Oryza sativa Japonica Group: one gene and its partner. The protein of the gene in region 1 binds, or shares a complex with, the protein of each later gene. Links are inferred from orthologs where the notes say so. Each region holds a gene or a part of one and is shown on either strand. Other genes may lie near its edges.

The links. The genes of interacting proteins can lie anywhere in the genome.
Region 2: rps8 (region 1) and 30S ribosomal protein S31, chloroplastic share a complex: the UniProt entries of both Arabidopsis thaliana proteins name them as parts of the 30S ribosomal subunit. The link is inferred for Oryza sativa Japonica Group from reciprocal best matches to the Arabidopsis thaliana genes rps8 and PSRP4.

The regions. Positions count from the first base shown.
Region 1 is NC_001320.1:76,074-79,700, forward strand, and holds rps8 (ribosomal protein S8), read right to left. Parts: upstream 1,036-3,627; coding exon 625-1,035; downstream 1-624. Other genes in the region: rpl36 (ribosomal protein L36), read right to left, coding at 1-53; infA (translation initiation factor 1), read right to left, coding at 165-488; rpl14 (ribosomal protein L14), read right to left, coding at 1,175-1,546; rpl16 (ribosomal protein L16), read right to left, coding at 1,656-2,057, 3,117-3,125; rps3 (ribosomal protein S3), read right to left, coding at 3,271-3,627. UniProt on the Arabidopsis thaliana protein: One of the primary rRNA binding proteins, it binds directly to 16S rRNA central domain where it helps coordinate assembly of the platform of the 30S subunit.
Region 2 is NC_089039.1:5,295,294-5,299,934, forward strand, and holds 30S ribosomal protein S31, chloroplastic, read right to left. Parts: upstream 2,237-4,641; 5' UTR 2,191-2,236; coding exon 2,007-2,190; intron 1,789-2,006; coding exon 1,724-1,788; intron 1,640-1,723; coding exon 1,472-1,639; 3' UTR 1,081-1,471; downstream 1-1,080. Other genes in the region: pseudo histidine-containing phosphotransfer protein 2, read right to left, coding at 3,045-3,095, 3,203-3,275, 3,374-3,445, 3,689-3,757, 3,872-4,002.

The sequences.
Region 1 (3,627 bases):
CGAATCAGTCGACATTTTGTACAAATTTTACGAACAGAAGCTCTTATTTTCATATTTCCGTATTCCTTTCTTAAACTATGAATTTACTCTTTTGGAAAAAATAAGTCTCTTTGTTTGAATTTTAGAACTTTGAATTTTTTACCCTAGAAAAAAAAAAGAAAAACCTAACCCTTTGAATCTTTGGTATCCTTCAAATCTTCGGTATCCTTCGAGTCTTCGGTACGCTTCGAATCCTTATGGGGAAGTCTATAAATTATACGCCCCTTGCTTGAATCATAACGACTTACTTCAATTTTGACCCTATCCCCCATCAGTATTCGTATAGAACTAGACCGGATCTTTCCTGAAATATAGCCCAGGATGATGGTGTCATTCTCTAGGCGAACGCGGAACATTCCGTTGGGTAGGGCTTCCATAACTAAACCCTCGAAAGTAATTTTTGCTTCTCTCGGGTTTTTTTTTTCTCTCCTATTTTTCTTTTCTGTCATATTTTTTTTTCTCCTATTTTTCTTTTTTTATTTTCAAATAAAAAAACGTTGTATTTTTGTTTGAAAAATAGGAAGTTCAAGATAGAATTTGGGTACTATAACTATAGGTGGGGCGATTACCGCTATAGGCGGGCGATTACCATATATAACATAAGACTTCTCCCCCAATTCTGTTTAGTCGAGCTTCTCGATCTGTCATTATACCTCGAGAAGTAGAAAGAATAGCAATTCCCATTCCGCCCAAAACCTTAGGAATTCCTTGATAGTTGGCATAAATTCGTAAGCCAGGTCGGCTGATACGCTTTAAAAAGGTTCTAGTTCTATATATTCCCTTTCTAGTCTTTCTCTTTTGATGTCGCAAAGTTGAAACCAAGAAATATCTGTTACTTTCCTGATGTTTCCGAACACTTTCAATAAAACCCTCTCGTAGAAGTATTTTAACAATGTTTTCGGTAATATTTGTAGATACTACCCGAACAGTTCCTTTTTTATTCATGTCCGCGTTTCTTATAGAGGTTAGTAAATCAGCAATAGTGTCCTTGCCCATAAGACTCTAATTCTAGGTTCCTCCTAATTTTTCTATAATCAACATGTTCTCTTTTTTCTTTTCGTTTTGGATTCTAAAGCATATACGTGAAACACAATCTACTAATTTTTTATTTGATCTATATCTTGTCTACTAGTATTTATAATACTTCAGGAGCTAATGAAACTATTTTAGTAAAATTCAATTCTCTCAATTCCTCGGCGATCGCGCCAAAAACGCGAGTTCCTTTTGGATTTCCTTTTTGATCAATGATAACCGCTGCATTGTCGTCATAGCGTATTATTATACCGTCTTCGCATTTGAACTCTTTACATGTACGTACAATTACAGCTCGAATTACTTCGGATCTTTCTAGAGGCATTTGGGGCACTGCGTCTTTGATTACAGCAACAATAACATCACCAATACGAGCATATCGCTGATTACTAGCAGCTCCTATGACTCGAATACACATCAATTTTCGAGCTCCACTGTTATCTGCTACATTTAAAAGGGTCTGAGGTTGAATCATATTATTTTGATTTCAATTTGTTATTTCAATGCAAAAGGATGAAAGAAATATTGTCTTTCCAGAAAGAAGAACCTGGTTTTTTATTTTCAATACTACTTTTTTTGGGGGGTTATATTTCTAACCGAAGAAATTGACTTCGTATGGGCATTTTGCTGGCAGCTATGGAAATAGCTCGTCTAGCTACAGTTTCGGATACTCCGCCCATTTCATAAAGTATTCGACCTGGTTTAACAACGGCTACCCAATATTCGGGGGATCCCTTTCCCGAACCCATACGTGTTTCGGTCGGTCTTATTGTAACCGGTTTGTCGGGAAATATACGTACCCAGATTTTTCCACCACGACGTGCATATCGTGTCATTGCTCTTCGTCCTGCTTCTATCTGCCTCGCCGTAATCCAAGTGGGTTCAAGTGCTTGAAGAGCATATCTACCAAAACAAATACAATTGCCTCGGTAGGATTTTCCCTTCATTCTTCCTCTATGTTGTTTACGAAATCTGGTTCTTTTGGGGTTATAGTCGATGGTTCTCTCTTAGTTCCATCTCTACTGCAAAACTGGACATGAGAGTTTCTTCTCATCCAGCTCCTCGCGAATCAAATGAGAAAGTGTGCCAAATTTCTCTAATTCCACAATATTCTAAAATATTACGGATAGATACACATTAATAGGAAAGGTTAGGGTTTTTAATATTGAATTTATTAAAATACTAAAATATATAGTCAAGAAAGAGGATCTAGAATATATCTAGATGTGTATGTTTATTTATCTATATTCTATATTTAATGTAATTCTTTTTTTTTTTTTTTTTAATCTCCTTTTTTTATTTTACTCTTATTGAATCGCGGTAAAGTATTCTAATTCAATAAAAATTTCGCGGGCGAATATTTACTCTTTCCTGTCTTATTTGTTAATTCATAACCTTATCAAATAAGACAATTTTTTTGGTTTGTTCCGCCATCCCACCCAATGAAGTATTGGGATTCTTTTCAAGAAAATCCTATCCAGTCATAGGTTCTGTCGTTCCCACTGCTTCTCCTTTAATGGTTAGGTTTGAATCTCGCAATGGAGCTTCCAAAAAATTTCTTTCCGAGTCAATTTCTCAGTTTTATTAACTCGGGACGCTCTTTGTTATTCCTTGAAATTTGTATTTCTTGTTTCAATCAAATTACGATTTCGAATTCTCTGTTATTTTTATTATATTGATGCTTTATCACATTGCTTTTTATGATGTAATTCATAGACCATACATATTGAATCCTATATCTTTCTTATTTCTCTTCCTTCTTTCTATCATCCTTCCTTTTATCTACATCCCCTTTAGTTTTGCTTCACAACTTAGAATCCTATTTTTTTTTAAAGAAAAAATTGCAGTTGCTACACGTATATGATAGATTTACTCATTTATGATAGATGTATTTATTCATATAGTGACTGTTTCTTAGTTAGGATCTCGACAATACGAAGCAATAGGTTGGTTATTAGTTCATTTTCTATAATTACATAGTAGGGTTCATTCTATTTTTTTTTAATCCCCTTTTTGAACCCTAAAAAAAAACTAACGAGTCACACACTAAGCATAGCAATTTTATTAAAAGATTTCTCAATTTTCATTAAATCTTATAGAAAGAGGTAGAATTTCTTCTTTTTTTCAGGGATTTTAGGGAAAATAAGGCTCTTGTCATTTTTTATTCTATTACTGAACAGAATGGGAAGACAGGGTTGGTTATTCTTCGTCTACGAATATCCAAATTTTAACTCCTAATACTCCATAGATAGTTCGAATTGGATAGCAGCAATAATCAATTTTAGCGCGAATTGTTTGGAGGGGAAGTCTACCTTTTTTGATGCACTCGGCACGCGCAATTTCTTTTCCCGCGAGACGGCCTGCAATTTTTACTTTTACTCCCTTTATATCTGTTTTTTTAGTTAATTCAATGGCTTTTTTCATTGCCTTTCGGAATGAAACTCTATTTTTTAATTGGAAAGCTATATATTCTGCAAGAATGTTAGGTTGTCTATAAGGTTCTTTCACTTTTTCGATCCCAATATTAAGTCTCTGGTTTACAGAATTAACTTCTTT
Region 2 (4,641 bases), on another chromosome or scaffold:
TATTCAGAACCACCTCTGCATTGCGAAAATAGCTGAGACATGTTTTCCATTAATATGCAATGTTTGCTTAAGGTACATATAAGTAGTACTAGAAACTTGCACGGCAACATCGAGTATGTATTGTTACTATTTTTCCTTTTTCAAGAATATATGTTTTGTGCATTGTTTGTCTCATCTTGTCAAGTTACCACTATGGATGTTGTCCTGTTGATTGAAAAAAATGAGAATGAACCCTAGTATTTCTTAATATAAAAATCTAGTGCATTGGTTGCAAACTCTGTAATCCAAATGATGGTTTCATTAACAGAATCAGGGTAAAACCTTATTCTTCAAATCAAAATGCATCAAAATGAAAAGCAAAATGTCTTGTTTCATGAGGTTCAGTTGTTGTAATAGGTTGCAGCCTTGCAGCAGGTTGGCATCACACTGGACCCTGGTTTCAGTCCAGTGGAAGACAAGTGATGTTGCCTCTAGGTTCGGAGAGATAACAGTAACAGAAGTTGAGTAAAAGTGACAACTGACAACTGCTCTATTTATCCCCCTCTATTTTTTATATGCTGTAGAGGTGTGAACTTATCAAATGTTAGGACTGTGGGAAAATGTTTGGTTTGTTACTTCACCAAATTTTTGAACAGATGGCGGGTTTGTTTCGTACGTTACCAAATTTTGGTAAGGTAGGGATACTCGAACATATTTGGTTCGTTATCTTACCAAAATTTGTGATGGCTTGAAATGGTAGCAAACAAAACATGCTTCAGGGTTTAGGGTTCTTAAAGCCATTGCGTAGCAGGGTTTACACTTCCAGTTTGGGCCAAAATTGTAGTATATTTCGGGCGAGATAGTTGCTTACCCTTGTGGGCGGGGGGAGCAGCTCACAACAAACTTGCAGACGAAACAACAAAAAATGACAGAATTTTAACATACAATTACCACCAAGCTGACCAGTTGAACTGGTTTGTTGTCCAGCTTTAAAGGAATATGTTTTGCAGATCATCAAAACAATTTCTTGTGTCAAAACTCAAGCGCATAACAGAGTCAACAGACAAAACAACAAAAAAGGGGCAGATTTCTGACCCGATCTGATGGACTGGTTTATTAGTTGATTCTTAAGAACTGCTTCCCAGATCATCACAACAAATTCGAAGCATGTCAAAAGGTGCTTGAATTCAGGGACACAGCTAGAAAAGAAAAAAAAAAGAGATACTGCATCTTCCCTGGTTTCTAGCAAGAACATGAAAGTTTGGTGATTGTATCTGTACTTATGTTCTGCTTCAGCTGGTAATGCATAAAAAATGACTCTAAGCAGCACCATTCATATATATTACAAGGAAAGAAATCATAGGCATCTACATTATGTAGAATGAGACCATGTAATGTACTGTAATTAATTTCAAGAAACAGTGTTTGGTACAGACTAGACAAAAGGTAAGCTCAAGGTAAACCATAATTCAAGGGGGGAAATTCAGACAACCTATTCCAGGATGTCATCGTCGATGTCGATCGGGGTGACCTCGCCGTCGTCGAACTGGTCCTTCCTCGGAGGCGCAGGCGGCGCGAACAGCCGTGCAGGGCCAGTTCCCTTCTTCTTGTTGCGCGGCCTCGCCTGAGATGAGCAAACAGCAGTCAGCAGATGGCAAGTCTGAAGAATTGCAGCAAACAGCAGCACAGGAAGCAATAAGCATATGATTTTTTTATTAATTTTATTTTTGTGCTAGAGACTCACATTTCCGTACGAGTGGTTGAACCTTTTTCCCCTCTTGGTCTTCTTGTCCCCTCTCCCGCAGTAAACTGGTCACACCAAATGGAGTAATTTGAGTTGGAATCGTAATTGGTTCAAACTGCGAGGTTTTTGTTTCAATCTATGTTTTGGTGCTGTATCAATTGAATTCGTGCAATACGATTTGAAAAGCAGTTTCATATAAGATCATCGAGCCAATTTCACACCAGACTAATCCGAATTGACGAACAAAACAGAGACAGGGAGGTTAGGTAGGCATGTCAGTTACCTTCAAGAACTGGAGTGAGCGGGGCCGAGAGGGTGGCGGCGGCGGCGGCGGCGACGCGAGAGCGGGAGCGGGAGAATGCGGCGGCGGCGGGGAGCGCGCAGTAGGAGGAGACGGCGGCGTGGTGGTGGGAGGAGGGGAAGGTGGCCGGGGACGCGGCCATGGCGTGGACGGCGAGGAGCGCCATGGAAGCGAGAGAGGAGTGAGAGCTTGAGGAATGGATGGAATCGGATAAGCTGTGCGTGCATCGGAGTAGATAAAACGGAGGGAAAGGGAAGCCCAGGCCCATGGATTGGGCTTTGTCTCTTGGGCCTATGGACCAAGCCCATGATTGGCTTGGCCCTCTGCAATTCTGATGTTTCTCTTTCTTTTTTTTTTGTCCTCTCATTTCTTTTTCTATAGATAATCATTTTTTTATGATTAAATTATTACTACTAGTATAAAACTTATGAAGAATATAGCAAAGTTATGATATTTTTAGGACTTCTGAAGACAAATCTAGCCATAACGTTTTTAAGATTTTAGAAATCGAAACGTTCAAAATGATATTGATGGTTAAAGCTCAAACACTGTTATGAATATTAGTGGAAGAGATGAAAAACCAGTGTTTTTAAGTGTCTTTGGTTCTGGGAATGTGACTATAGCGTTTGTTGAGTATACAAAGTACAAACAAATAGTTTTCCATGATGGCACCTGGGCAATTAATTAACCCAAAAAACTAGTTTACATATTACTAGTTTCAAACATTAAAAGCTCATATTAGTACCATGACACTTTCTGCTACAATTACTGACTAATAACACAAGTTCATGGCACTTTGTAGACAGGCAAGGAGAGTGTGCATAAGCAGGGCTTTACATAACTTCATACAGTATATATGGATTATGGAGCTACAGATGCAATCCAAACACAACAAAAAGGCACCATTAAGCATTATGAGTATCTGATTGGCACAAAAACTTTTCAGCGACAGAATTTTCAAGAGACTGATAGCTGCTATGTATATGTTCTTTATTTTCCTTGGAACTCATACTGTTCTTCTTACTTCCTTGAGCTCACTGCATAATCACGGGGACCAACTTGCCTCAGTAACTGCATCAGCAGAAGGAACAGGAGATAACCAAGTTGTTTAGCCATGTAGCAATGCTGAAAATAAGGTAAACAGAAAGAGAGAGAGACAAGGATGTAGTACAACATACCTGAAAATATGATTCCAGCTTCTGCTTCAGAGTGGCATGCTCCCTCTTCATCTTCTGAAGAGACCTGCGGCATCTGAAAGAGAACATGGCCTCATCACATCATGTGAGGAAATTGCATGATGATTGGATAGTATGTGAAGAACAAGTTGGACGAGTCAATGAAATGCATACCCTTCCAGATTCCTGTCATTGCAGTTTACTTTGAACACAGAGCACTCATTCTTCATCCTCAGTGCACCAATGCTGCGCCAAACACAGGCCAACTTTAGCGAATTTTGAACACATAAAGCAGGCAAAGATGACAAGCTTTCGGTGAGAACATTCATATTAACAAATAATATTTGTTCATTTCACATCAATAAGCATTCTTAAGTTTGAATGTTTTTATATTGGTTATTTAAGACCTAAGACATGATTTTACACTGATGAGACCTGTAAAAGAATATTGTTCACTCTGTGTTCTGGGCATATGCCCCAGTTTTATACCTGGATCCGCTGCCTTTGAGTTGTTGCACAAGAGAATCTAATCTGTAGAAATCCTGAGGGTATTTATCACTGCATCAAAAGAAATGGAAGTAAATGTAATTGTCATGTCTTTCAAATCATGGGTAATCATTGTACAAAAAATCAATTATCTATTCATATCGTGGATGCAGACATATTACTTACATTGCTTGTTCTATATTTGTCAACAGTCTTGATGAATCTTTGAAGAACAGAGCCGCAACTTCCTCAACAAAATTGGGGCTTGATTCATCCTGCAGTTCTTCCAGCTGATTAAACTGTTCATCAAGGTAACCCTGCAGGAAAACCACGAGGTAGATTATAGGCAAAAGAAAGAAGCATGAAATACACAACCAAAAAAAAAACTTTTGTGCAGTCCATATAATACAAATAAGTGTACTAATTTACAAGGGTAAATCTATATAATTAGTCAAAGATTAAAAAAAAAGTCAGGTTCCAGCAAGTGACTTACTCCCTTCGTCCCATAAAAAACGAATCTAGAACCGGATGTGATATTTTCTAGTACTATGAATCTGGACGTATATATGTCTAGATTCGTAGTACTAGGATGTGTCGCATCCGGTACTAGGTTGGTTTTTTATGGGATGGAGGGAGTAGGCTTCACCCTAGTTAAGTATAAAGGAAATCTAGTATTTGCCTAGGAGATACTAATGTATCATCAAATTGATGCTACTCTATGATTACTCTCTAAAGGTTGAAAGACCTGACTTTTTGTATATTCTCAATGGAATAGTACAAAGGAAATTAAGAAAGTGGTTTGCTATTGTCTATGGCATATTACATCCTTGACGATCTGCTTAAACTCATTATCATAATGCATGCATATGTGATGTAAAAGAAAGTTGTATAACTTTTAGATAAGATAAGATGGGTGCCAACTGCTAAGTGAGCATTATTGCATCATCCCAGACTAG